3 linked regions of the Anolis sagrei genome follow. The protein of the gene in region 1 purifies or fractionates together with the protein of each later gene. This does not show direct contact. Links are inferred from orthologs where the notes say so. Each region holds a gene or a part of one and is shown in the gene's direction. Other genes may lie near its edges. The genes, in order: SOS1, FRS2 and EPS8.

Evidence for each region.
Region 2: the proteins of SOS1 (region 1) and FRS2 purify together in Homo sapiens (affinity purification with western blotting; 5 studies listed by BioGRID). This does not show direct contact. The link is inferred for Anolis sagrei from reciprocal best matches to the Homo sapiens genes SOS1 and FRS2.
Region 3: the proteins of SOS1 (region 1) and EPS8 purify together in Homo sapiens (affinity purification with western blotting; 5 studies listed by BioGRID and IntAct, with this or other methods). This does not show direct contact. The link is inferred for Anolis sagrei from reciprocal best matches to the Homo sapiens genes SOS1 and EPS8.

The regions. Positions count from the first base shown.
Region 1 is NC_090021.1:22,281,184-22,291,677, reverse strand, and holds the start of SOS1 (son of sevenless homolog 1), read left to right. Parts: upstream 1-6,270; 5' UTR 6,271-6,687; coding exon 6,688-6,774; intron 6,775-10,494. Other genes in the region: MAP4K3 (mitogen-activated protein kinase kinase kinase kinase 3), read left to right, coding at 38-125.
Region 2 is NC_090025.1:143,298,230-143,308,141, forward strand, and holds the start of FRS2 (fibroblast growth factor receptor substrate 2), read left to right. Parts: upstream 1-6,032; 5' UTR 6,033-6,243; intron 6,244-9,912. UniProt on the Homo sapiens protein: Adapter protein that links activated FGR and NGF receptors to downstream signaling pathways.
Region 3 is NC_090025.1:181,602,407-181,612,199, reverse strand, and holds the start of EPS8 (epidermal growth factor receptor kinase substrate 8), read left to right. Parts: upstream 1-5,185; 5' UTR 5,186-5,424; intron 5,425-9,793. UniProt on the Homo sapiens protein: Signaling adapter that controls various cellular protrusions by regulating actin cytoskeleton dynamics and architecture. Depending on its association with other signal transducers, can regulate different processes.

The DNA.
Region 1 (10,494 bases):
TATGTTTATATTTTGCTTATATCCACCTTGCTCACAGGGTTGTGGTACTGGAGAGTCGGCCCACAGATAACCCTACCGCCAACAGCAACTTGTACATCTTAGCAGGCCATGAAAACAGTTACTGAGAAGCAATCTGCATGGCAATTTAATTCTGACAAGAGAACACTACTGCTTCGACACTTATGGATGGCTGAAATTGCACAAAAGCAGCAGTACCCCAACTTCAGTTAGTTTGTAATTTATTGTGGCGTGTGAGCGAATGAGTGCAAGAATGTTTGCCTGAATGTTATGGACACATTTAGCGCATTTATATCACATAAGTGCTTGGTTCACTATTATGTAATCTTTGTACATATATGCAGTATTTCTTCGTTGAAATGGAGGCATCTCTTGATTTTATGTAGATAGTGGTCGAATGTCTTATTTGTACAGATGTGTAAAGATAGCTAAGGACAAGGAATTGCTTTTTGGGGTACTATTTTAAGGACACTTTTTTTAAAAAAAAAAGAATGGATACTAGCGCTAAACAGTGCATTCAGATAACACTATTGTATTTTATTATGTAATTTACTAATACAAATAAATCTTACCTTTTAGACATTGTAACCAAGGCTGTTAATCCTGTTACAATCTTGTTTTAAATTTGATGCAAGTACACTGGTGTTTGGTTGCACAAAGTATTAATATGTGATGTATTTAGTCACAAAAGTAAGCTGTGACTTTGTAGATATGATTTGGGTGTTTTAGTTTATTTGGATAGTTTTCTTTGTGAAACTAGCCAGTCGAACACCTGTATTTTTATATTTAAGGAAAATTCTCTAATTATTTTCTGCGCTTGGGGGAATAAAGTAAATATTTTGAATGGGGGGGATCGCAAATAGTGGTACCTTGGCATAATTATAATGTATACAATGTTAAAATAAGGATTATTTTGATTTGTTTTTGTTCTTCAGTGCCACCCATATCATGCAAAAATTAAAAAACATTCCACATTGTGGAAGTGGTTGCTATATTTTGGCGCTAGATCCAGGCATTTGCACCGAAAAGGCCACTGCACATAAATAGTACTCTTTGCAGTACTTCACAGATATTCATTCGCACTCGAATTATGATAAAGATATGCATGTTTCTCTCATTTAAGAGGTAGGTGTCCTACTTGGCAGGACAGGAGTAGCATCCCTAGCTAGTTACCAGTAGTTTCACCCATTTTGTTCTGCATAGCTGCTCTGTTAATCGTCATAGGATAACTATGCACCCTGAGATTCCATAGTGGTTTTCACATGCAGATAGCAGAATGATCCATCTGCTCTTATTTTTCTTTAAGTAGTGGGGTCTTCATTGAATAGTGGTTTTCAAGCTATATTCCAGGAAGCTCTGGAGTTCCTCACAGAGCATTCAGCTTCTCAGCAATAGTGGAAAGGGTTCCTAAAAGAAAGCATTCTTTCCCCTACTTTTTCCCTTGTCTCAAGCAGTTATTGTGGAGCAGGGAGTGTAGCATGAGATCTCACTTGATTCCTGTGGGGTGAGATTAAGACCCAAACATACATAACCCAATAACCTGTGTGAATGGTGTATTCCCTGTACCAAAAATCCCATGCAATATGCCGGGGTTTATTCAGGAAACACATTAATTTCTCTTAAGGCCAGAAGCTTAAAACCTACTGCCATATGGGAATACACCCACAGAACAACTGTTCTTCGTATGAAAATGAGTTGTCGGTTACCGCAGCAATGAATTAATTGTCTTAATTTGGCCTTTTTTCTTTTAAAAAATATTTGGCCTTACTACTGTTTTTCACATTTTCCTTTTAATGTCTTAACACCCGGCCAAAATGATTTAGTTACTACCTCACACAAACAATTTAAATGATTTATTACACATCACAGGAATTTTTAATTTTGAGCGAAAAGATTTTTGATTGTTTTCCAATGCAGTAATATGTATATGCCAAGTTTTAGCTGGGAAATGCACATATTGGCTTTTTTTGTATATGTTCTTTATACTGTGATATAAACTAAGAATAACTACATTAAAAGTGATTTATGGTCTGTATCGATGTTGTTGGTAATGCTTTTGGATATTTCCTAATGTATATAATGTAAAATAAACTTTTTTTAACATGTTTGTTGTATATCTGGATTGCCATCTGCACTCATTTTCTGAAGAAATTAAACATCTGAGGAATGGACAAAGCATCTTAACTAAAATACTGTAATGGAGCATAAAATTAGGCAGTCTCTTAAAGGTCATCTACCAAACCACTTCATAAACTTTGGGTCTTTGCTCAGTGTTGGTGTCATAAAACATTTGGCAACAATAAAGTTTCTGAATGCTACCCATTTACATGAGCCTGCTAGCAACAACATGCAGTCTTTACAGTGGACTCTGCAGAAAATGCTTCAGCTGTAGTTCATAAAAAGAAAGATCAGCCTGAAAATACTGATGTATTATCAGTAAACATTAGAGTTTTACAGTTATATGTCTAGGGTCATGTAAAAGTTTCTCAGGTAGAAAGCGGTTGTGAGTAATGGTAAAGAAATGGTGAAATATTGCGTAACACTCAAACTATCCTACAAATATGATCTGACTATTTTCCCTACAGTAATATAGAATTTCCCCTCCCACCAGTAATAAGCTCTGTTCCAGTCTTCGGCCCAGTACCAGCTATCACAGTCACTGAAGTAAATGCAGCCATACAAAGAAAGAAGCATAGAAAGGCCACTGGCCCAGATGACATACCAGCTGAAATTTGGAAAATGCTCAAAGACTGTGGTGCTACATTTCTAGCATCACTATTTTTTAATTTTTATTGTTTTATAGTGTACACAAGAAGCAAAGCAGACAACAGAAAAACAAAAAAGGGAAAAAAGAGAAAAGAAAAAAAGATCTACAAAAGAGCAAGCAAGTTTACACAAAGGTATATAGTCAGCGCTCATTAAACTTATGAAAAATCAAATTGGACTATGAAGTCACATAGCTGTTGCACCAATGGATAAAGCTACTATACAATGATACAAGTATGGTCAGCTGCCCTGCAGAGATTTCACCACCCTTCAACATCACTGTTGGCGTGCTTCAAGGATCAGCACTCTCAACATTACTATTCAGACTCTGCATGGACTAGGCAGACTATGTGTCCCTGGACTCTCATATATGCAGATGACCTAGCACTTGGTCATTGAAAACGTGCAGCCTTTGTTTCTAGCGCCCATTTTTTGCTTGATATTCAGGCAGTGCTTCTTGTAGGTCAGAGCACAGTCCAGAGTGACTCCCAGGTATTTCGGTGCGCTGCAGTGCTCCAGTGGGATTCCTTCCCAGGTAATAATCCTCAGAGCTCGGGATGCTTGTCTGTTCTTAAGGTGAAAGGCACATGTCTGTGTTTTAGATGGATTAGAATCAGCTGGTTTTCCCTGTAGTAGGCGGTAAGGGTACTTGTGCTATGAGCTTCTGTTCAACCATCTCAAAGCTCCCTACTTGAGCGGTAATGACATAATCATCGTCCTTAAGATTTTTTTTTTGTCAGGAGTGACTTGAGAAACAGCAAGTTGCTTCTGGTGTGAGAGAATTGGCCGTCTGCAAGGACGTTGCCCAGGGAACGCCCAAATGTTTTGATGTTTTATCATCCTTGTGGGAGGCTTCTCTCATGTCCCCGCATGAGGAGCTGGAGCTGGTAGAGGGAACTCATCCGCACTCTCCCCGGATTCGAACCTACGACCTGTTGATCTTCAGTCCTGCTGGTGCAGGGGTTTAACCCACTGTGCCACCCAGGGCTCGTTGTCCTTAAGATAAAACTCAGGGTTAAATAGGCCTGAAACCAGGTTCTTGTGGGTTTTTTCGGGCTATATGGCCATGTTCTAGAGGCATTTTCCCCTGACGTTTCGCCTGCATCTATGGCAAGCATCCTCAGAGGTAGTGAGGTCTGTTGGAATTAGGAAAATGGGTTTATATATCTGTGGAATGTCCAGGGTGGGGCAAAGAACTCTTGTCTGCTGGAGCTAGGTGTGAATGTTTCAACTGTCCACCTTCATTAGCATTAGAAGGCCTGGCTGAGCCTGGGGGAATCTTTTGTTGAAAGGTGTTAAGATGTGCCTGGTTGTTTCCTCTCTGCTGTTTTGCTGTTGTAATTTTTGAGTTTTTTAATACTGGTAGCCAGATTTTGTTCATTTTCATGGTCTCCTCCTTTCTGTTGAAATTGTCCACATGCTTGTGGATTTCAAAGGCTTCTCTGTGTAGTCTGACATGATGGTTGTTGGTGTGGTCCAGCATTTCTGTGTTCTCAAATAATATGCTGTGTCCAGGTTGGTTCATCAGGTGCTCTTCTATGGCTGACTTCTCTGGTTGAAGTAGTCTGCAGTGCCTTTCATGTTCCTTATTTATTTATTTACTTTGCTTATATACCGCTGTTCTCAGCCCGGAGGCGACTCACAGCGGTTCACACACAGTAAAAACAGCAATAATTCAATGCAACACGTAACAATAGACCACTTAACACATTATCCACTAATAAACAATAAGCAATTATAATAACAGTTATTACAATAACCAAACCCAATCGTCTCATCGTCAAAGCCTAGTCCAGGTTCATTGTCCATTGTTCCATTCCTATGTTCAATTACCAAATATTGCACTAGATTACTCGAACGCCTGCACAAACATCCAGGTCTTAAACTTTTTTTGGAATGCCATGAGGGATGGTGCCAGCCTAATGTCCGTAGGAAGGGTGTTCCACAGCCGAGGGGCCACCACCGAGAAGGCCCTATCTCTCGTCCCCGCCAACCGTGCTTGAGAAGCCGGCGGGATCGAGAGCAGGGCCTCCCCGGAAGATCTCAAAGTTCTGGTGGGTTCATAGGAGGAGATGCGTTTGGACAGGATTTGGGCCGGAACCGTTTAGGGCTTTATAGGCCAACGCCAACACCTTTAATTGAGCCCAGTAGCAGATCGGCAGCCAGTGGAGCTGTCGCAACAGGGGGGTTGTATGCTCCCTGCGCTCCGCTCCTGTTAGAATCATGGCTGCCGCACATTGGACTAATTGAAGCTTCCGGGCCGTCTTCAAGGGCAGCCCCACGTAGAGAGCGTTGCAGTAGTGTAGGCGGGATGTAACCAGAGCGTGGACTACCGTGGCCAAGTCAGACTTCCCAAGGTACGGGCGCAGCTGGCGCACAAGTTTTAGCTGTGCAAATGCTCCCCTGGTCACCGCTGAAACCTGGGGTTCCAGGCTCAGCGATGAGTCCAGGGTCACACCCAAGCTGCGAACCTGCGCCTTCAAGGGGAGTGCGACCCCATCCAGCACAGGCTGTAACCCTATGCCCTGTTCGGCCTCGTGTTTGGGCAATGCTGCGTTTGGTGGTCCCTATGTAGACTTGTCCACAGCTGCATGGTATACGGTAGACTCCTGCAGAGGTGAGAGGATCCCTCTTGTCCTTTGCTGAATGGAGCATTTGTTGGATTGGCCTGAAAACGCATCTCCACCTATGAACCGATGCGGACATTAAGATCGCTCTCGGTCCCGCCTGCGTCACAGGCACGGTTGGCGGGGACGAGGGACAGGGCCTTCTCGGTGGTGGCCCCTCGGCTATGGAATGCCCTACCTGTAGACATCAGACGCTGCTGGCGTTCCGGAGGAAGGTTAAGACTTGGCTCTACGAGCAAGCGTTTGGCTAAACAGTGCAACTGAACACAGGAAGACGGTAAAATTGAACATAGGAATGGCACAAGGATTATGAGAATTGATTTTGTTCTGTTATCGAGGCGTCATGAATTGATAATAATTGTTGATTTTGTTGTTGTGTATGATGTGTTTTTAACTGTTTATTGTTGTGATAACCTGCATTGTGTAAACCGCATTGAGTCGCCTAATTAGGCTGAAAAATGTAGAAATAAAGCAAATAAATAAATAAATAAAACCAATTTGTTGAAAAGGCCTGAAACCCTTTCAGTATTGAAATGACTAATAAAAAAAATACTTGAGTCCTCCAGGCCGCAGGTGGCGCTGTGATCAGAAGGGGTAGGTGGCGGTATGACAAGAGGTGCTCTGCTTTGCTGTCTTCCCTCCACCACCGATCATGAAAACACTTCGGCGTTCGACTAGCAAGCCTGGAAGTGGCGAGGGGAGGGGGAGCAAGGTTGTGGAAGGAAGCTCGAGGGCTCGGCTCTCGACTCGCACGCCTGGACGGCGCGGAAAAGGGAAGAAGCGAGGCCAGGACTGGAGCGAGAGGGGGGCGGAGCCAGAGGAGGAGGAGGGGAGGGGGAGCGCGCCGCGACTGCGCATGCCCGGTCGGCCTTTGTGCCCACTGCGCACGCGCCGGAGGTTGCAACCGTCAGGGACGGCAAGGGAAGCGCCCCCGAGAGTTCGAAGCCCTCTTTGGCTCCCTCCCTCAGCCACCGTTGCTTTGCGGCCTGCACTTCCGCTTCCTTCCTGTCAGGGCCGAGGAGAAGCAGAAGGAGAAGGATGCCGGAGAGCCCGGGGTCTGCGTGAGGCGAGGCCGGGAAGGGAGGGATGTCGCCGGCGCCGGGCCTCCACGCCGGGTCCTGGCCCCAGCCTCAGCCTCAGCGGCGCCCTCCGCCTCGGCCCTGCGCAGGTTCGGCCCGGGCCCAGCGACAGGGACAGGCCCCACCAGGCCGGGCTGGGCCCCAGCACTGACTCCGCCGCTTCCCCGACGCCGAGGGCCCGGGACGGGGCGGGCAGGATGCAGGCGCCGCCGCTGCAGTACGACTTCTTCAGCGAGGAGAACGCGCCCAAGTGGCGGGGCCTGCTGGTGCCCGCCTTGAAGAAGGTGAGTCCCGTGTTTCCAAGGAGGAGAAGCAGGGCATCTTCTCATGTTTATTTATATCCCGCTTTGTGTCTCCCTAGGGAGACTCAAAAGCGGTTCGCAACTCAAGCGTGGCAATACAACCTCAAATATACACGTATTAAACGTCATTGAAAGCAGGTCAGATCACTGACTAGATCTCCAAAACGGAGATCATGAAACAAAGCTAGAAGTTTGTTGTTTAACTTCAACTCTGGCCCCTTCCACACAGCTAAACAAAAACCTATAATAATAATACAACGACGGATTCTCCCCTATGAACCATCAAGGTTGTTAAAGATCTGGAGGGGCCCTGCTCTCGGTCCCACCTCCTTTACAATCGCGTCTGGTGGGGATGAGGGACAGGGCCTTCTCGGTGGTGGCCCCTCAGCTCTGGAACTCATCTTCTGATGTTTATTTATATCCCGCTTTGTCTCTCCATAGGAGACTCAAAAGCGGTTCGCAACTAAAGCGTGGCAATACAACTTCAAATATACATGTATTAAACGTCATTGAAAGCAGGTCAGATCAGTGACTAGATCTCCAAAACGGAGATCATGAAACAAAGCTAGAAGTTTGTTGTTTACCTTCAACTCTGGCCCCTTCCACACAGCTGAACAAAAACCTATAATTAATTAATTAATTAATTAATTTTACTTCTATACCACTGTTCTCAGCCCGGGGGCGACTCACAGTGGTGTACAACATAGGAACAGCAAAATTCACGACACAGTATAAAAACAATTCACAATCCAGCATTATACAAAAACATCATTACTACGAAAACCATTCAGCGTCGTCTCATCGTCCAAACCACAATCCAATATAATTTCCCGTTGTTCCGTTCCTGTAGTCATTACCAACCATTGCACTTCTTATTCGAATGCCTTCTTGAACAACCAAGTCTTTAATTTCCTGCGGAATATCATCAGGGAAGGTGCCAGTCTAATGTCCACGGGAAGGGTGTTCCACAGCCAAGGAGCCACCACCGAGAAGGCCCTATCTCTCGTCCCCGCCAGCCGTGCTTGTGAAGCAGGCGGGATCAAGAGCAGGGCCTCTCCGGAAGATCTCAAAGTCCTGGTGGGCTCATAGGTCGAGATGCGGTTGGATAGGTATCTTGGGCCGGAACCAGTTTTGTATACTGGTCTTCTTCTCACCTCCGTTCGAGGGACTCAGGCCGGTTTCCAACATCAATATTACAGACAGTCATTAAAACATCATATTCTAAATCACACTAAAACATTAAAATAGCAAAATACAATCATATAATTGCAGTGGTCAGTCATCATCAAAAATCATTATTCATCGTCACCCATCCATGTCACAGGATCATGGCTCATTCGTCGAATGCCAATCCCCAAAGCCAAATTTTCACCTGTTTCCTGAACGTTAAGATAGAAGGGGCAGTTCTGATCTCCAGTGGAAGGGAGTTCTAGAGTCAAGGGGCCACCATCAAGAAGGCCTGGTCTCTCGTCCCCACCAGCCGCGCCTGTGAGGCCAGTGGGATCAAGAGCAGGGCCCCTCCAGACGATCTTAGCAATCTTGATGGTTCATAGGGGAGGATACGTTCGGACAGGTAAATTGGGCTGGAGTCGTTTCGTATTATTATTGTTATTATTATTATTATAACAACAACAACAATAACAACGGATTCTCACCTATGAACAACAACAGATTCTCCCCTATGAACCATCAAGGTTGTTAAGATCTTCTGGAGGGGCCCTGCTCTCGGTCCCACCTCCTTCGCAATCGCGTCTGGTGGGGACGAGGGGCACGGCCTTCTCGGTGGTGGCCCCTCGGCTCTGGAACTCTCTCCCGTTGGAGATTAGATCTGCCCCTTCCCTCCTGACTTTCAGAAAGCTGGTAAAATCTTGGCTTTGGAATATAGCATTTGCAGAATGATGATTGAGTCAATAACGGCTGACCATACTGGCAGATGGTGATGAATTTGTGATTTTACTCTGACGACCTGGATTTGTAATTGTATGATCTGTATTTTAATGTATTTTTGTATTAATGTATTATGATGCTATTATGTTTATTCTATGTGTGTATGAATTTTCTGCTGTTAGCCGGCCTGAGTCCCTCTTCAGAGGTCGAGAAAACCAGGTTATAAAAGCTCTAAATAAATAAAGAAACTTTATTTTTGTGCCCCACCTCCATCTCCCTGAAGGAGCTTATGGTGGCTTACATATGGCACAATGTGCCTAAAGCAACGCATTAAACATACCATAGTCAGTTGTTCAGCAATTTTAAAAACTTGACATTATACAAAATTTCCTTTGACCAGAAGTTGGCCATGTTGGGTGCCGCTTTTATTTATTTGGTTTTTTATTATTACAACACTTTTATGCCGCCCTTCTCACCCCAAAGGGAACTCAGAGCGGCTTACAAGATATATATATATATATAATATATTATATTATTAGCATAGCACAATATCTGTATTATATATTACTATATTTATTTTATTTATTTTATTTTATTGACATCATTTTACCCCCACTCTTCTCACCCCCATAGGGGGACTCAGAGCGGCTCACAATGGCAATGATTCGATGCAAGATATATACATACAATATATTATATTATTGGCATAGCACAATATCAGTATTATATATTACTATATTTATTTTATTTTATTTACATCATTTTTACCTCCGCTCTTCTCACCCCCGCAGAGGGACTCGGCACGGCTCACAATGGCAACGATTCGATGCCTCAATGCTTACAATTATAAAAGCAGAATAAAATCATACCATTAAAACAGCATTAATTATCAATCATAAAGGCATTTCCATTTTAACAATCGTCGTCTGGTCCAATTCCATGTTCAGGTGCTGTTATATCCATTAGCCAAAAGCCTGGTTCCACAACCATGTCTTCAGTTTTCTTCTGAAAGAAAGGAGGGAGGGCGCTGATCTAATTTTGCTGGGGAGCGAATTCCACAGGCGGAGGGTCAGCACCGAGAAGGCCCTGTCCCTCGTCCCCACCAGTAGCGTTTGCAAAGTTGATGGGACCAAGAGCAGGGCCTCCCCGGCAGATCTAAAATATTGTACTATACCATTATATTATAATATTATTAATAATATTACATCTAATATAAAATATATAATTATAATATTGTGTTAGTAATATTATATTGTATTACATTACATTATATATATATGTATATGTATATGAATATATTATATTATATTATTAGTATAGCACAGGAGACAAGGTGGAACTGCTTTCCTGGCCCCCTCTCTCTTCACTCTGGCTCAGAGAAGCAGTTGGTGCTGAGGGGAAGGGGTTCCAGCTGATTTATACAAATATTAAAACTGTATTAAACATCATCAATATTCAAAACAATTCAGGTTGAAACTATAAAAGCACACAGAACCACAGCACCCCCAGGCCAGATCATAAAACAAAGCTAGAAGTTTGTTATTTGCCTTCAACTCTGGCTCCTTCCACATCAGAATAAAAACCCACAATAGTAGTAGTAGTAGTAGTAATAATAATAATAAAGTCAACCCTATGTAGAGCACATTGCAGTAGTCTATACGGGATGTAACTGTCTCCCATCTATGTGAAGCCGCTGGGAGACATCATCTGGAGTTTTGGAGTTCAGTGTCACTTGTACGCAGACGATGTTCAACTCCATCACTCCTTCCCACTTGCTACCAAAGAGGCTGTTCAGGTCCTGAACCAGTGCTTCTC
Region 2 (9,912 bases), on another chromosome or scaffold:
TGCAGATCAGCCTAATCTGCCTTGCTTCCAATATGTTGCCAAAGGCAAAATCTCCATTGATTGCATCATGATATCTGCCGCATATCAGGAGGAGGAAACCTAATCACCTCTGCCATGTGCTCCTGTGCTCAATAACCTGGGTGCAACTTTTTGGACCAGGTGAAATTTCAAATTTCAAAGAGTCTTCAAATAAATATAATTGACATCATCATCGCAATGGTCATTATGTGCCTTCAAGTAATTTCCGACTTACGGAGACCCTAAGATGAACCTTTTACAGGGTTTTCTTAGCAGAATTTGTTCAGAGGGGGGTTTGTCCTTCCTTGAGATTGAGAGAGTGTGACTTACTTAAGGTCACCCAATTTTCCACTTCACAGCAGTGGCCCTTTGATACTCCTTTTAAATATGACACAGTACATTTTTTTTTACAGTAGACTCTCAGCTAACTGGCACCCATGGAGATTAGTAAATACCTATCTACTATTTTTTTTGTCGTGTCAGGAGTGACTTGAGAAACTGCAAGTTGCTTCTGGTGTGAGAGAATTGGCTGTCTGCAAGGACGTTGCCCAGGGGACGACTGGATGATTTGATGTTTTTATCATCCTTGTGGGAGGCTTCTCTCATGTCCCCGCATGAAGAGCTGGAGCTGATAGAGGAAGCTCATCCGCCTCTCCCCGGATTCGAACCTGCGACCTGTCAGTCTTCAGTCCTGCCAGCACAGGGGTTTAACCCACTGCGCCAAGGGGGCTCCTACTATTTAATGTACTATTAAACAATCTACTATTAAAACAGGCTTATACTATATCCCATACTATACCATACTACAAGTTCTGTGGGCCCTTCCACACAGCCCTATATCCCAAATATCAAGGCATAAAATCCCACAATATCTGCTTTGAACTGGGTTATCTGAGTCCACACTCAGAGAATGTGGGATTTTCTGTCTAGATATTCTGGGATATAGGGCTTTGTGGAAGGTCCCTGAATTGACGTGATATTAAGATTGAAATACAGTAATTAAAAGGAAATTAAAACAAAGACAAACTTAATGTAACCCAGTTTTGAAAAACAGTTTTGTGAATGCAATATGCAAATTTATTTATTTATTTGCGACATTTATGTGCCGCCCTTCTCACCCCAAAGGGGACTCGGAGCGGCTTACAAGTCATATGTATATTGGGAGGGATAGCCAATAGTCCAGAGGACAGGAGCAGAATTCAAAACGATCTTGACAGATTAGAGAAATGAGCCAAAACTAACAAAATGAAGTTCAACAGTGACAAATGCAAGATACTCCACTTTGGCAGAAAAAATGAAATGCAAAGATACAGAATGGGGGACGCCTGGCTCGAGAGCAGTACGTGTGAAAAAGATCTTGGAGTCCTCGTGGACAACAAGTTAAACATGAGCCAACAATGTGATGTGGTGGCAAAAAAAGCCAATGGGATTTTGGCCTGCATCAATAGGAGCATAGTGTCTAGATCTAGGGAAGTAATGCTACCCCTCTATTCTGCTTTGGTTAGACCACATCTGGAATATTGTGTCCAATTCTGGGCACCACAATTCAAGAGAGATATTGACAAGCTGGAATGTGTCCAGAGGAGGGTGACTAAAATGATCAAGGGTCTGGAGAACAAGCCCTATGAGGAGCGGCTTAGGGAACTGGGCATGTTTAGCCTGAAGAAGAGAAGGCTGAGAGGAGATATGATAGCCATGTACAAATATGTGAGAGGAAGCCACAGGGAGGAGGGAGCAAGCTTGTTTTCTGCTTCCTTGGAGACTAGGACGCGGAACAATGGCTTCAAACTACAAGAGAGGAGATTCCATCTGAACATTAGGAAGAACTTCCTAACTGTGAGAGCCGTTCAGCAGTGGAACTCTCTGCCCCGGAGTGTGGTGGAGGCTCCTTCTTTGGAAGCTTTTAAGCAGAGGCTGGATGGCCATCTGTCAGGGGTGATTTGAATGCAATATTCCTGCTTCTTGGCAGGGGGTTGGACTGGATGGCCCATGAGGTCTCTTCCAACTCTTTGATTCTTTGATTCTATGATTCTATGTATAGTAATTAAAAGCAAATTAAAACAAACAAAGATGAAAATGTAGTTTTGTGAATGCAACATGCAATTTTAATATTATTTCTTGGATAATTTTCCAGTTGCTTGTGTTCCTGTTACATGAGAGTCTGTTATATATATGGTTAAAAGATTGATAGCAGTACAGACGTCTAGAAGAAGCCTAGACAATTTAAATATTGTAGCAGTCACAATCTTTATGCTGTAGAAATAGTATGCTGCGGAAGGTTGTTTTTCTCAGACAGCAGTAACAGAGTATTTTTTTGGCTAGGGCTAACTCTCGCAGAGAGAAAAGTGGTTAAAAGGTCAGAAATGTGTGGGGTCCAGACCAGAAGCACAGAGTAATTATTATTCTCCTTTAAAGCCGCCCTCTTTTTCATGTGCAAAAGGGCCTCTCGCAAGTATGGCCCAAGAAGTGATTGTGAGAAGTGATCTGGTGAGGAATGAGACTGACTCCAGCGAACTAAAGGAGAACATGGGAAAGAATACGGGACAATTTATTTAACAGATATATTCCACTCGGCATAAAAACAAGTTATGCTGGTTGACTGCTTCTTCCAGGACTGAGCTGGCTACTTTCTATCACAATAGAGGTCACAGGTGAAAATATGTCCTCTATGCGGCCTAATCTCCATCACAAAAGCCCTACACAATGGCCGTTCTTCCTTGTGAGAGTGCAAGGACTGGAATAATAGGGGCATGACAGGTCAAGATTGAGATGCCTTGGGAGAAAGAGAAGCTAATGCTGGCCCCAACCATCCTGAGCTGTTTGGGGCTGAGATACATGCCTCACTTCGGAGGGATTATTACCCACTGGACTTACTTCTGGGGAAATATGTTTGGATGAGGATGTAAGCCAGAAACTCATGCAAAATATCAGCTAGGAGAATAGTTGATTCAGGCTTATGTTAAATGTGTAAATTAAATAAAATTGCTATGAAACATAATGGAAAACAGAATTATATTTATTATAACACAGCGAATACCTTGTACTCCAAAATTGCACAAATAAGTGGAGTATTATGTTACTACCAATGCTATCAAAATTATTAAGAATATTATGGGAAGACTTGCTATTTCTCCTTTAACACATTGGATGTTAATAACTTGCTGAATATTTCATTTTGGGAAATACTACAAGTCTACTTCATGTTATCTTTCAGTACTTTCAGTGTAACACATTTGTATTAATATAATCTGAATTTATAAATGGTTTCATCTGTAAACCAATTTGATTAATCTGTTCTGAATTGGGAAATGGTTTCCAAGAAACACACCTAATAGTGCTATATTGGGTATGTTTCTCGGAAACTGTTTCTAAATATATTATGATGCTACACTTGGCTATTTCCCAAACAAAGGAAAGTAGAGGGAAATAATGGATTGAATTTGGAACTGACCTAATGAGGTGATGTTTATAAAAGAAGGGCATACAATTTATTGGTTTGACTTTCACCCAAAGATTCAAATTATGTAATCTTTTAGAGATAGAGCAACCTAGTTCTAAAAGTGTCAGAGGATTGATCGAAAGGTTGGCGGTTCGAATCTGGGGAGTGGAGAGAGCTCCTGCTGTTAGCCCCAGCTTCTGCCAACCTAGCAGTTCAAAAACATGCAAATGTGAGTCGATCAATAGGTACTGCTCTGGCAAAAAGGTAACAGCGCTCCATGCTATCATGCTTGGAGGTGTCTATGGACAACGTCGGCTCTTCAGCTTAGAAATTGAGATGAGCACCAACCCCCAGAGTCGGACACAACTAGACTTCATGTCATAGAAACCCTTTACACTTCCCTATGTAACAAAATTTGAGAGAAAAAAATCTGTTCCTGGTTTGAAAGTGTTATTTCCTATTTAATTGTGCTATACTTACTTTGAAAGTAGTTGTTATACTTCAGAAATTTCATTTTTGTGGCTGAAAGAAACTCTGGTGAATTGATTGAGAATCTATCAGATATTAATTTAAAAACTACAGCAAAATGTGCTTCTTGCATGTTTTATGATAGCAGCAATTAGGAAATTATATTTATAACACAGGAACAAAAATGGTGTTCAATGTGTTGTTGAAGGCTTTCATGGCCGAAATCACTGGGTTGCTGTAAGTTTTCTGGGCTATATGGCCATGTTCCAGAAGCATTCTCTCCTGATGTTTATCCTGCATCTATGGCAGGCATCCTCAGAGGTTGTGAGGGCTGTTGGAAACTAGGAAAAACTGGGTTTATATATCTGTTAAATGTCCAGGGTGGGAGAAGGAACTCTTGTCTGTAGGAGATGTAAATGATTGAATTGACTACCTTGATTAGCATTTAATGGCCTAGTAGTTTTCAAGGTGTGGCTTCTTATTTATTTTATTTATTGTGTCAAGAGCGAACCAAACAGTTGTATTGTATTAAAAACAAACAAAACACAAAGTTTGCAAACTTGGCATTCTATTAAATGTCCTTTGACCAGTAGCTGGCCACTTGGAGTGCCTCTGGTGTGGCTATAAGAAGGTCCTCCATTGTGCATGTGGCAGGGCTCAGGTTGCATTGCAGTAAGTGGTCTGTAGCTTGCTCTTTTCCACACTCGCATGTCGTGGATTCCCCTTTGTAGCCCTATTTCTTAAGGTTGGCTCTGCATCTCGTGGTGCCAGAGCGCAGTCTGTTCAGCGCCTTCCAAGTTGCCCAGTTTTCTGTGTGCCCAGGAGGGAGTCTCATTTGGTATCAGGCATTGATTGGGGTTCTGGGTTTGAGCCTGCCACTTTTGGACTCTCGCTTGCTGAGGTGTTCCAGCGAGTGTCTCTGTAGATGTTAGAAAACTATTTATTGATTTAAGTTGTTGGTGTGCTGGCTGATACCCAAACAAGGGATGGGCCGGAGATGTCACTGCCTTAGTCCTTTCACTATTGGTTGCTACTTTCCCAGCGGTGCAACAGTGTAATTTCTCCAGTGGTGTAGGGCGCAGACACTCTGTGATAATGCAGCATGTCTCATTAAGAGTCACATCTACTGTTTTGATGTGATGCAGGCCCGTAGCCAGGATTTTGATTCGGGGGATGCTGAGTTTGATTGGGGGGGGGGGGGGGGGTGAAGATCTACCCTAGCAAACCTTTTGTATCGTTACCCCAATACCCCCATGCATATGGGATATATTGAGCATGGTGATCAGATCATGATATGAATAAACATAACTGTTTAAATAATGTACCAGAATTTGGGGGCGGGGGGGGGGCTTAAGCCCCTCAAGCCCCCCCTCCGGCTACATGCCTGATGTGATGTTTTCCATACTGGGCATGCATACTCAGCAGCAGAGTAGCAAAGTGCAAAGGCAGATGTCTTAACTGGGCTTCTTACTGCCTGAGTGAATCCTTTGTTGAGAGGTAATTAGTTACCTCTGATTGTTTCTTTTCTGGAGCTCCCCTGCCTTTATTTATTGTTATTATTTTAGAGGTTTTTTTAAATACTGGTAACCAGATTTTGTTCATTTTCATGGTTTCTTCCTTTCTGTTGAAATTGTCCACATGCTTTCCTGGCAAAGTTTGATCAAAGTGTGGATTGCCTTTGCCTTCCTCTGAATGTGAGAGAATCCAATTTAGGGTGAATTTACACTATGGAATTGCTACAGTTTGTCGCCACTTTAGCTGCCATGGACTCCTGGGAGTTGTAGTTTGGTGAGGCGCCATTTCCCCCACTAGGCCTAGGCCTGCCTTGCCTTCTACAGTTTTTCCTTCCCAGGCCAGAGTGCCACCTTTCTGGGTTGCTAGGCAACGCATGACTTGAGGGGGGAGAGGGGGGCTTATTTCGGCTCTTGCAAATCTTCCCCGAAGGCCCCTCCCCTTAGGTTCGGCGTTGCCTAGCAACTCAGGAGGGCGGTGCCCTGGGGGGGGGCGTGGCCTAGCCCTCTCAGTGGGTGGTTGCCTCCCTCCCTCCCTGCTTTCCTCCCTCCCTCCTTCCCCCCGCCCGCTGGGTAAGGCGAGGAGCCTCGCCGACGTCAGAGCATCCCGGCGCGCGCGCCCAGGAGAAGCGCCCCTCTCCCTCCGTTTGCCCCGGAAGGAGTCGCCCCCTCGGCCTCGGAAGTTGTCCTGAGCGAGGCCTGCCTGCCTGCTTTCCCTGCCGCTGTTGGTTATCGGAGGTCTGCTTGGCGTCGCGGCGGGGAGAGTCTCCGGCTACCCACGGGCGGCTGGGCCTCATGAAGGAGAAGGTGAGCGGGGAAGAAAACCTTCCGCCAACAGCCCAGGCCGGGCGCCTCTCCTCCTCCTCCTCCTCGGCCTGGCTTGGGAGCCACTGCTGCTGCTGCTGCTGCTGTTGTGAGGAGAGAGATTGAGAGCGGGCGGGAGGAACGCCTTGGGCTTTCCTTGTGGGCAGGGTGGGTGCTTATTAAATGTAGACGCCTCTCTGTTGACGCGCGTCAGTCGTGGAAGGGAGGCTGTTGTCAACAAATGCCCGCCCTGGCTGCGGTTTGGGCTGGGCAGCTCCCTTGGCTGAAGGGGTCATTGACGTGTCCGGCTGGGTGCTTTGCCTCCAGGAAGTGTCTATAATATTGCCATGTCTGTGCGTGTGTGTATGTGTGCTTTTCGCTTTTCAAAGCACCGAAACTACACTTGCGCTTCCATTGCAAGTATAAGGGGTCTCTCGAGGCCAGCTTCCTATTTTTCTGCAGTTGAGTTCTTGATAACAACAACAACAACAACAACAACAATTTTTATTGATTAGCCAATTGGCCTTATCAAAAACAAACAGTGTAGACACAACATGCAATATAATAATAATAATAATAATAATAATAACAAACTTTATTTGTACCCCGCTACCATCTCCCCAGGGGACTCGGTGCGGCTTACATGAGGCCGAGCCCAAATACAACAATACAAGCAATAAAACAACAATACAAGTAATTAAAATTAAAAAAAACCATAGACGATAAAATATACAACATTATCAATAAGACAGCACACAATTAAAAACTGGGAAGCCCAAATGTAAAATTAAAATTGGAAGTAATGCTGGGGCATGGACGAAAAGGTGATAGTGGTGTTTATGGAAGGGCATACGGGCAGACCTAAAGAAATGTAAAGTGCTTTGGAGGACAAAGTGCTATGGGATCATTATTCCGGGAAGGCACACTGGAACATACATCTAGTCCTCTTAAAATAAAATCTAAATATACAGGTAGCTATAGATATATGCATCAACTATCCTCATCTCCCCTACACTGCACCCCAATCTGATCTATGTACTCTGATCTCCTTTTAGCAGCTTTAAACAAATAAAGGGCAACTTTTGTTGTCAGAATGGGGTTATAACCAACAAAAAAAAGGGAAGTTTTGGCCACTGTATCCCTACTGGTTCTACTGCAAATAAAAGGCCATAAGTATTGTTTCTTTATAGAGGTGTAGGATGTGTCTACACCACGCATGGGCAAACTTTGGCCCTCCAGGTGTTTCGGACTTCAACTCCCACAATTCTTAACAGCCAGTAGGCTGTTAAGAATTGTGGGAGTTGAAGTCCGAAACACCTGGAGGGCCAAAGGTTGCTCATGTCTGAGGTACACTGTACAATTAATACAGTTTTACATCACTTTAACTGCCATGGCCCAGGACCCTTCCACACAGCTGAATAAAATCCCTCACTGTCTGCTTTGAACTAAAATTTATGGCAGTGTGGATCCAGATAATAATAAAAAATACTTTATTTATACCCGCCTCCATCTCCCCAAGGGGATTCAAGGTGGCTTACACAAGGCCAAGCCCACAATACAATACATCAGTATACAATAGACACAGCAATAAAATTAATGAAAAAATAAAAATAACATACAAAACAGTACATTATAAATAATACATCAACAAAATAAAATCACATCATTTAAGACGGGGGCGGGGATAAATCTCAGTGGGCAGGGCCAATTCCAAAGGATTAAAAAAATTAAAAACACTAGGTGAGACAGCAGTTTATTGTACCTGGACAGGAGATTCGGGGGATAAATGAGATTGGATTGCACTACTAGGGGAGGTAAAGTGCTTGTGAGGGCATTTGCAGGACTTGGTCAGGTCAGGGAATTCATTCATTCATTGAAGGCATATTGGAACAGCCAAGTTTTCAAGCTCTTCCTAAAGATTGCCAGGGTGGGGCTTGCCTAATATAACTCATTTCAAAGCAGATATTTTGGATTTTTTGTCTTGATTTAGGGCTGTGTGGAAGGACCCCCAGTGTCCTGTTGTAGCTTTGTCAGGTCTTTATCCATTGCCTCACTGAAGTACAACTCCCAAAATTCCATAGCATGCAGCCATAGCAGTTGAAGTGATAACAAACTGCATTACTTCTACAGTGAATGTGCACTCATAGTATGCTGAGCTAGGCAGACACATATTTCCCACATGTCCACTGCCTCTTCTTTCAGAGCACAGAAACTGGAAGAGCCACTAGATAACAAATGTTGCTCATACATTGCATACCTTGATGCAATCTATACAGAGTGTTCCCCAAAAAACGTGTATACAGCCTCTAACAGCAAATAGTAGCTATGGTGATTATTTGGTGGCTATGTACATATATTTATATTGAGGAATGGCTCTTCTTTCCTTTCAGAGCACAGAAACTAGAAGAGCCACCAAATAACAAATATTATTTGCCCGTACTTGTATTCCTTGATGCAATCTATACAGACTGTTTCCTAAAAATGTATACAGCCTCTAACAGCAAATAGTAGCTATGGTAATTATTTGGTGGCTATGTACATATATTTATACAGAAGATTAAATGTTATAATAATGATTTAGTCAGTTACAAATTGCAATTTTATGGAAGGTGTTCAAATGATCATCCCTGTGTAGCAGTGTGCTATTCACAAACCCACAGTTGCAAACTTCACTTGTTTCTCTTGTACTTTAATGACACTTCTCTACTAATGGCATCTTCAATTATTTTAAGGATACAGTATATATATTGGATTGCTGTAAGTTTTTTGGGCTGTATAGCCAAGTTCCAGAAGCATACTCTCCAGATGTTTTGTCTGTATCTATGGCAGGCATCCTCAAGCCCAAAAAACTTACAGCAACCCAGTGATTCTGGCCATGAAAACCTTCGACAATACATTATATATTTTGTTTGAAATAAATTGCAGTAAATAAATAAAGTTCCAGAATTACAAGTAGTTAAGGGTGTATTTGGTGGGGGGGGATGGTGGGAGACATCCTGTATTTTATAATGGATGTCCTTGAGATAAATAACATGGAGGTGGAAGCAAAGACAGATGCTGTCTTGTGTGTTGTTTTTATTGTAGTGATCACTGGCTTAGTTGTGAACCTGCTTTGTAAATCAGTTAAGCTGATGTGCATGAACATATGTAAATTATGTTCCTGCATGTCTCAAGTTGATTGTGCATCAATATAAAACGGCTTAAAACAGACATCCTCAAACTGCGGCCCTCCAGCTGTTTGGGCCTCCAACTCCCAGAAGCTCCAACAAGCTTGTTCAATTGTTTGGAATTCTGGCAGTTGAAGGCCCAGACATCTGGAGGGCTGCAGTTTGAGGATGCCTGGCTCAAAATATTGCAGTCCATTATACAGTTCGAATGTATCCCTCTCTATGAACCATCTTGGAGATTAAGATCTTCTGGGAAGTCCCTGCTCTCAGTTCCACCTCCTTCGCTGGTACAGTTGTTGGAGACGAGAGACATGGCCTTCTCTGTGGTGGCCCCTCAGCTGTGGAACCCCCTCCCCAGTGAGAGTAGATCAGCCCCCTCCCTCCTGGCTTTTAGAAAGAAAGTAAAAATGTGGCTATGGGACCAAGCCTTTGGATAATTGTGATGCAATAAATGAATAAGGAATATGTGCAATGACAACTGGAATGGCTTTGAATTATGATCTTG
Region 3 (9,793 bases), on another chromosome or scaffold:
GTATGAAAGCTGAAAATCAACCCATTTGGTGCTTGCTGGAAGACAGTTCAACATAAAGTCAAGCAAATGGGTTCTAAGTAAAAACCAGGGAACTAGTATGGCATAGTGGTTTGAGAGTGTGACTATGACTTTGGAGATCAGGGTTCAAATTCCTGTTAAGCCATGATACATAATGGGTGACCTTGAGCAAGTTACACTGTTTCAGTCTCAGAGTAAGGTGATGGCAAACCTCTTCTGAACAAATCTTGCCAGCAAAACACTGTGATAGGTTTGTCTTTGGGTCACCATAGGTTGAAAATGACTTGGACTTCTTCCACACCGCTGAATAAAATCCGATATTATCTGCTTTGAACTGGAATATATGGCCGTGTGGACTCAGATAACCTAGTTCAAAGCAGATATTGTGGGATTTTCTGCCTTGATATTTTGGGTTATATGGCTGTGTGGAAGGGCCCTTGGAGGCACACTGCAATAACAAGCAAATCTAGGGTCCTTCTATAAAGCCATATAACCCAGAATGTCAAGACAGAAAATCCCACAATATCTGCTTTGAACTAGGTTATCTGAGTCCGCACGGCCATATATTCCAGTTCAAAGCAGATAATGTGGGGTTTTATTCAGCTATGTGGAAGGGCCCCCAGTCTATTATGAAATACCATGATATTATATCATAACACAGTAGAGTCTCACTTATCGAACCTTCACTCATCCAAAGTTGTGTATTATCCAACGCAGTCTGCCTCCTGCCTGGATCCATAGCTATTTCAACACATTGTGATGTTTTGGTGCTAAATTCATAAATACAGTAATTACTACATAATGTTACTGTGTACTGAACTGCCTTTTCTGTTGATTTGTTGTAAAATATGATCTTTTGGTGCTTGTTTTGTAAAATCATAATGTAATTTGATGTTTTCCTTATTATCCCATATTTTTTCTTATCCAACCTTCTGCCGGCCCGTTTATGTTGGATATGTGAGACTCTACTGTATTATGTGTATTATAAATATTACAATGCTTGTCAAAGTGAAAGGCAGCAGTAAAAGTGGAAGAATGTACTATAGGTGGATTGGCTCAGTCAAGTAAGCCATGGCGCTGAGTTTGTAAGCCCTTCCACACAGCCCTATATTCCAGAATATCAAAGCACAAAATTCCACAATATCTGCTTTGAACTGGGTTATCTGAGTCCACACTAAGATAATGTGGGATTTTCTGCCTTGATATTCTGGGATATAGTGCTGTGTGGAAGGGCCCTGAAAGACCAGAAATGAGAAGTTGATTACTAGAGCTTTTTGGAGGACTCTCTTTCATAGCATTGCCATGAGTTGGAGCTGACCTGACAACAAGTAACAACAAGATTAGAAGGAACATCTTGACATTAAGAGTGGTTTGAAAAGCAAACCAATTTCCTAGATGGATGACTTTCTCTTTTAAAAAGAGACTGGATGGCTATCTCCCAGGAATGCTTTCACTGGAAATCCTGAATTTAACAGGGAATGGGCCCCAGTGGTCTTGGGGTCCCTTTCAGCTCTATGATACACAGAGGAGGAAATCATGTAGCCCATCAGAGGTTGTTGGATTGCAACTCCCAGCAGCTCCAGCCAGATGGTAAAGAAAGCTGAGAGTTTCTGCACAGAAACATCAGGAGGACTACAGATTCCCATTCCTGGAATATAGAAAGTGTTTCTCAGATATCTCTTCCAATTTATAATTATCTTCATAGGAAGAGAAGGCTGAATTACGTGCAGCCAGATCATTAGTACATTCAATCCAGTATTGCCAACTTTGACTGAATGTGGCTTTCCAAGGTTTCAGGCAGCATCCCTTCCTTCCTAACCCTTCCTGGAGGTCCCTGGGATTTTCTCAGGGTCTTCAAGCATGAACAAGACCAAGTCCTACTTGGTTTCCAAATTTGGATGCGGTCAGAGATGTGCAAGGTAGTACATTGGTTTTAATTACGTGCTAAACTACTTTCCAAGCTGTTCATATATGTAGCATATTGTTATAACAGCACAAGATGGAAATGCAATCAAGTCTAACAGTCTATCAGTCCAAGCTTATGTGTATTTAATCAGAAGTAACCCTCAATGTATTCTGTGAGATTGATTCCCCTGCATGCCATTGATGCAACTGGAATATTTGACTATGACTCTGGGAGTAAAGGGTTCAAATATCTGCTCAAACATAGAAATTCATGGGGTAAGTCACACTCTCAGCCTATGAAAAAGGCAATGGCAAACCTCTGAAGAAAACCTTGCCCTGACAATTAGTGATAGGTTTGAGATAAATTGGAATAGACTTTGAAGGGACATAACAAATCTGTAAAATAGGTCTGCCACTAATTAAGGAAATTAATACAAATTAATCTGCCTAATAATAAATCAGTTGAGTATTCTATCTCTAGTTTCAGGTCATCTACATTGACAGAAACATCTGGATTTGGTGACAACTCAGACCGAGACAAGGAGAACTAGTACAGTAAAGTCTTTAGAGTCACTTAGGCAACAGTGGATTTCTGTATCTTTTTGGACTACACTTTCCATAATCTCTCATTATTGGCTATGCCAGCTAAGGATGATGGGAGCTATAGGTCAAAAACACTTGGGGTTCAGCAGCTATCTGCTGTTGCTGTTGTGTACATTCAAGTTGTTTCTAAGTTATGGCAACTCTCATAACAAGGTTTTCAAGGGCTGAGAGCGTGTGACTTGCTCAAGGTCATCCAATAGGTTTCCATGGTTCAGTGAGGAATCAACCCCTGGTCTCTAGAGTCTACTCCTAGGTTCAAGTGCTGGGCAGATGCTTCAGAGATGGTCCAAGTTCAAGTAAAATATGCTGCTGGATAAATATTACATTACATTATCCTTGGACTGTGTTCAGTTCTGAACATCACAGTTAAAAAAGCATAATGACTGGGATGTTTGTGTGAGCCAGTTCTTAGAGCTGGGGCTTGTCACAAGTTTTGTGGTATCCCACCATCCCGTCTGTTTGTGTGCACTTATTCTACAATTGCAGTGTGAGGTGGTCCACAACAAGCACTATCTTAGGTATGTCTGCTCAAGAGTAGGATGCATAGGGTTCCATGGAAATCGTTCTGACAAAACTGAAAGCATTGCAGCTTGAAATGATCAAGGTACCAGGGTTTCTTAGCTAAGAGAAAGGGCTACCATGTTTGTGACTCTGAGGGCTCTTCCACAAATCCACAAGCATGTGGACAATTTCAACAGAAAGGAGGAAACCATGAAAATGAACCAAATCTGGCTACCAGTATTAAAAAAAAACCTCTAAAATTAGAACAGCACAACAACAGAGAGGAAACAAACAAGGACGCCTAATCACCTCTCAACAAAAGATTGCTCCAGGCACTGCCAGGCAATCAAATGCTAATCAAGGTGATCAGTTGAAACATTCACACCTAGCTCCAACTGACAAGAGTCCTCTGTCCCACCCTGGTCATTCCACAGATATATGAACGCTTTTTCCTAATTCCAACAGATCTCACTACCTCTGAGGATGCTTGCCATAGATGCAGGCGAAACGTCAGGAGAAAATGCCTTTAGAACATGGCAGGGCCGTAGCCAGAAAAAAATTTCAGGAGGGGTTGAAATTTTCAGGGGGGGTTTTTGAAATTTTCAGGGGGGGGGGGTTGAAACCTGCCTTGTAGCTCACGCTGAAGCAAAGAGTACAGCAGGGAGCAGAGCAGCCTTCAATAGCCTGCAGCTCCGCCCCTGTCAACCAACTCCACCAAGTCTGGCCTCTTTAATGAGAGCATTCAACACACACACACCCAACTTGGTTGCTTCACTACATCGGCTATTGCTGCTAGTAATGACAGTGTGAATAAATTGTCAATATTTAAGGCCTTTCATGGTCTGGGGCCGATGTACCTGAGGGACCACCTCACCCTCACCCCCTCCCAACCCCACAGATCCCTCTGTTCTGAGGACCAAGATCTATTGGAAATTCCCAGTGTCAAGACCTTGCGTCTAACAGCAACCAGACGCAGAGCCTTTACAGCAGTGGCACCATCACTCTGGAATACTCTGCCACCTGAAGTCCATGCCTTGCGGGACTTATCAGCTTTCCGCAGGGCATGTAAGACATATGTGTTTCGATGGGCCTTTGATCTCTGATACTGCTGTTTTTAAATTGTTTTTAAATTGTGTTCGATTTTAGCCTGTTCTTGTAAGCCCCAGGGGAGTGGCAGCATATAAGTTCGAATAATAAATAAATAAATAAGTAAATGTCCAGTCTTGATAAAATAGTCAAGAGTAGAGACATCAGACTGGCAACAAAGATCCGCCTAGTCAAAGCAATGGTATTCCCTGTAGTCACCTACGGATGTGAGAGCTGGACCTTAGGGAAGGCTGAGCGAAGGAAGATCGATGCTTTTGCGCTGTGGTGTTGGAAGAAAGTGCTGAGAGTGCCTTGGACTGCGAGAAGATCCAACCAGTCCATCCTCCAGGAAATAAAGCCCGACTGCTCACTGGAGGGAAGGAGACTAGAGACAAAGTTGAAGTGCTTTGGCCACATCATGAGGAGACAGCAAAGCCTGGAGAAGACAATTATGCTGGGGAAGGTGGAAGGTAAAAGGAAGAGGGGCCGACCAAGGGCAAGATGGATGGATGGCATCCTTGAAGTGACTGGACTGACCTTGAAGGAGCTGGGGGTGGTGACGGCCGACAGGGAGCTCTGGCGTGGGCTGGTCCATGAGGTCACGAAGAGACGACTGAACGAATGAACAACAACAAATAAATAAATATTTGCTTGAGATAGTGCTTGTAGTTCTGGAGGGATTCTTAATTGTTTGCATCTCATAGACTTACCATGGGGATTTGGTTAACCAGTTAAAATTCATGAGTAAACTGGGTTTTTTAAAAAATCTGAAACATTTCGGGGGGGGGGGGGAGTTGAACCCCTAACCCCCCCCCCCTCGCTACAGGCCAGGAACATGGCCATACAGCCCGAAAAATCCTACAACAACCTATTGGTACTAATGTTGGTCAAAGTGGTCCCTGGTAATCATAATAATAAAGGTTGGGAACGACTGACATATGGTGTGGATTTCCACCTACTGGATCAACCTGTGCCTTGCTCGGCCAGCAGAGTCTGGGTTCGTCCACCAGGGGGCGCGCGTGCCTGCGGGAAAAGCCCCGAACGCGAGGCCAGCGAGAGGCAGAGGCGGGCACTTTGGAACCTGGCGCGGGATTGCCTCGCTCCGGCTGCACTTTGTTCGGCTTGGCGGCGGCTCTGCTCCTTCCACCCGCTTCTCCAGGACCTCCTCCGTGCCTCAGGCGGCCCTCCTGCCTGGGACGGTCGCCTAGCCGCCTTTGCTGGTCTTGGGACCTGTCGGGGCGTCCCTTTGCAACCCTTCTTCCCTTGAACGAGGGGCGCTTTTGGAAGGAAGAAGGAGGCAAAGAAGCCCAGGTAAGCAGAGAGACTGGGATGATGGTGCGGGCTGTGTTTACCCTTCTCGAGCTGGGGAAAGGCTGCTCTGTTTGGGAGGGAAGAATCAAGGCAGATTCCTACCTCGACTGCCTTTCCTGACCCTCGAGACCCGTGTTTCCCCTTGAGTCGCCCTGCCTTGCGTGTCAAGGCGCGCGTAACGTGTGAATCGACCCCCTCGGAGCGGTGTTGCGGTGACAAAATGGCAGCTTCGGGGGAAAGGGGCTCCTCGCTGTGGAGACAGGGAAGCGGGGTCTCCAAGGTGGATCTATACGGATCAAGGCTGCTTCCGACTCGATTCCCCTTCCTTCCTTCTTTCCTCCCTCCCTCGCTCCGCGTTTACCTTGTAACCTGAGCGTTGAGCGGCCACACCTGTGCCTTCCCTCCCTCCTTTTCCAGCTGGGTTTCTGTTTGGGAAGATGCTTGATGTACCCCTTGGTTTCCATTGCTTTCTGGGCTAGGAGGTATAGTTTCCATAGCTTCTCCTCTGCTGCTCCTCAATGGTTTTGAGGACCTCCTTGGAGCTCTCTTTCGGAGAGTCAAGGAGTTGGAAGAGGCACCAAAGGGCATCCAGTCCAGCCTTCTGCCAGGCGGCAACACACAGTGGAAGCACTCCTGACAGATGGTCATCTAGACTGATTCAAAGACGCTATGGACTCTATGGGCAGACTTTGCCCCTTCTGGTGTTTTGGACTCCAACTCCCACCATTCCTAACAGCCTCAGGCCCCTTCCTTTCCCCCCACAGCCGCTTAAGCGGCTGTGGGGGGAAAGGAAAGGGCCTGAGGCTGTTAGGAATGGTGGGAGTTGAAGTTCAACCCCCCTGGAAGGCCAAAGCTTGCCCATATCTGCTCTAAGGCAACATATTCCACTATCAAACAGCTCTTGGTATATCTGTTGCTTTCCACCTTTGAGCGTATAACACTCTTTCCAATGTTGACATGTTACTTAGTCGATCCCTCGTCTTCTGAGGATGATGGTCCTCCAAGTTCAGTGTCTTGGCGGTGAGTCCGTAGGTGTCTGTGGAGACCTATTCTTGATCTGCATGTTTTCCCGCAGTCAGGACATCAGTTTCCAGGTGGAAGGCAGTCCCGTTCATGCCTTCCTCTTGGAACATTTCTCCCTTTCGCCCTCTATTCTGCCTCTTTGAATTCTGCAGCACTGCTGGTCACAGCTGACCTCCAGTTAGAGCACTCAAGGGCCAAGGTTTCCCAGTTCTCGGTGTCTATGCCACAGTTTTTAAGGTTGGCTTTAAGCCCATCTTTAAATCTCTTTTCCTGTCCACCAACATTATATTTCCTCTTCTTGATTTCGGAGTTTAGTAACTGCTTTGGATGGCAGTGATCCAGCATTTGGACAACGTGGCCAGTCCAGCGGAGTTGATGGCGTAGCAGCATCACTTCAATGATGGTGGTTGGAAATTTGGACCACTTGGCCGGTCCAACAGAGTTGATGGCATAAGGGTATCACTTAAATGCTGGTGGTCTTGCTTTTTCCAGCACGCTGACATTTGTCTGCCTATCTTCCCAAGAGATTTGCAGAATTTTTCAGAAGCAGCACTGAAGGAATCCCTCCAGGCAGGCCCGTAGCCAGGATTTTGATTCGGGGGGGGGGGGGGGGGGGCTGAGTCTGAGTGAAAGAGGATCTACCCTAGCAAACCTTTTGTATCGTTACCCCAATACCCCCATGCATATGAGATATATTGAGCATGGTGATCAGATCATGATATGAATAAACATAACAGTTTAAATAATGTACCAGTAAGTCCTTTTCGCAGACCATCATGAGAATTTCGGGGGAGGGGGGCTGAAGCCCCCCCCCCCCCCCCCGGCTACATGCCTGCCTCCAGGAGTTGAGTGTGACATCTGTAGACAGTGTACATTTTGCAGGTATATAGCAGAGTTGGGAGGACAATAGTTTTGTAAACTAACACCTTGGTGTCTCTACAGAGAGTACATGTTGACATGTACTGCACTATTCTCTCATGTTCCTTTTTGTGTCTCATTGTCAAATAGTCCTGGAAATGTAAGTTCTTGCTTGAATTTGATCCTTGTTGTAAGAATTTCCCCATGAATTGTTTCCTAAGTGGAATCTTTTTACCTGCTATGTGAATCCATTGCTCCCTGTCCTGGTCTTTAGAATAGCAGAAAACAGCCTCCCCACATCTCAATGGGAGACCCCGGACTTGGCCTTAGTCACATCCCCATTTGGACTACTACAATCTCTCTATGTGGGGCTGCCTTTGAAGATAGTTCAGAAGCTGCATTTTTTCCCTGTGTCAGGAGCGACTGCAAGTAGCTTCAGGCATGAAAGAATCGGTTATCTGCAAGAACGTTGCCCCGGGGATGCCCAGATGTTTGATACTTTACCATCCTGTGGGAGGCTTCTCTCATGTCCCCAAATGGGAAGCTAGAGCTGAGACAAGAGGTCACCCCGCTATCTGGATTTGAACCACCAACCTGTCGATCAGTAGTCCTACCAGCACAAGTATTTAACCAGTGGTTCTCATTCTTCCTAATGCTGCGACCCCTCAATACAGATCCTCATGTTGTGTTGACCCCCAACCATAACATTATTTTCATTGCTACTTTGTAACTGTCATTTTGCTACTGTTATGAATTGTAATGTAAATATCTGATATGCATGTATTTTCATTCACTGGGCCAAATTTGAATACTGGTGGAGTTTATGGGGGATTGGCTTTGTCATTTGTGAGTTGTAGTTGCTGGGATTTTATAGTTAACCTACAATAAAAGAGCATTCTGAATTCCATCAACAATGGAATTGAACCAAACTTGGCACACAGAACTCCCATGACCAACAGAAAATACTGGAACAGTTTGGTGGGCATTGACCTTGAGTTTTGGAATTGTAGTTCACCTACATCCAGAGAGCACCGTGGACTCAAACAATGATTGATCTGTACCAAACTTGGCATGAATACTCAATATGCCTAAAAGTGAACACTGGTGGATTTTGGGGGAGTAGACCTTGACATTTGGGAGTTGTAGTTGCTGGGATTTAGTTTCCCTACAATCAAAAAGCATTCTGAAACCCACCAACTATAGAATTGGGCCCAGCTTCCCACACAGAACCCCCATGACCAACAGAAAAGACTGTGTTTTCTGATGGTCTTTGGCGACCCCTCTGACACCCACTCGTGACCCCCCCAGGGGTCCCGACTCCCAGGTTGAGAAACACTGGGTGCTCCGGTGGGCAATTAGTGCAGAGATGGACAGCTAGATAGCTAACTGGAGCTCCATATCATGAGTGGATGACTCCCATGCTGTGACAGCTGCACTGGTTGTCAGTCCGCTTCCGGGCTATGAAGCCCCAAACAGTTTGGGCCCAGACTATTTCAATCAATCACATTTCCCTTATGCACTGTGGTCAGTGGAGGAGGCCCCCATCTCAAGCACGGCTGGTGGGAATGAGAGAGGGGGCCTTATTTGTGATCGCTTCCCATCTCTGAAACTCCCTCCTTAAAGAAATAGGAACGACCCCTACCCTCCTCTCCTTTAAGAAACTTTTGAAAACACATTTATGCGCTTTAGCATATGGAGAGGAGGCGGACTAAGATACTGTAATACTGGCAAACTCATTTGTACTTTATGATGGCTATGATACATTTTTAATAAACATCTGCGTTAGCCATTTCAAATGCAATTCATTTCCAACTGCTTTTAATGATATATGTTTAATGTTCACTCATGTCTCCGTTTACTGTCTAACTTGGTCTATTGCTACCTAGTCGTCATTTCAATGCTGGACTAATTGGTATACATTTCTAATATCCTTATACATTGTGTTGTTGAAGGTTTTCATGACCAGAATCACTGAGTTTTCCGGGCTGTAGGCCATGTCCCAGAAGCATTCTCTCCTGACATTTCACCCACATCTCTGGCAGGCACCAGAGGTTGTGAGGTCTGTTGGAAACTAGGCAAGTGAGGTTTATATATCTTACACATTGGTTATTTTGCCTACACGCCCTTTAAGCCATGTAGTGTCCCATCTCAGTTTTATGAAATGATAGTTCACTCTATCTTCTTCTCTTGAGAACAGGGGTGTCAAATGATGGAGAAACAAGTTTTCCCCACTTCTGATGGTCTTTGGCAACCCCTCTGACACCCCTCTCATTCTCTTTTTGAGATAAATGAACACTTTTTAAATCTTTCCCCCATTCCCTTTTTCTGTCCATCTGCTCCCAAGCTAATTGCTTATTTAAGACTTCAGCAGTTGGAATAATATTTGCTGTTGGGCTGTTGGAGAAACTGTGCCATAGCAAAAAAAATTGCGTTTATTACAGCCTCGCAAATATAGTCTTCTGCTCCAGTTCATAGAATCATAGAATAA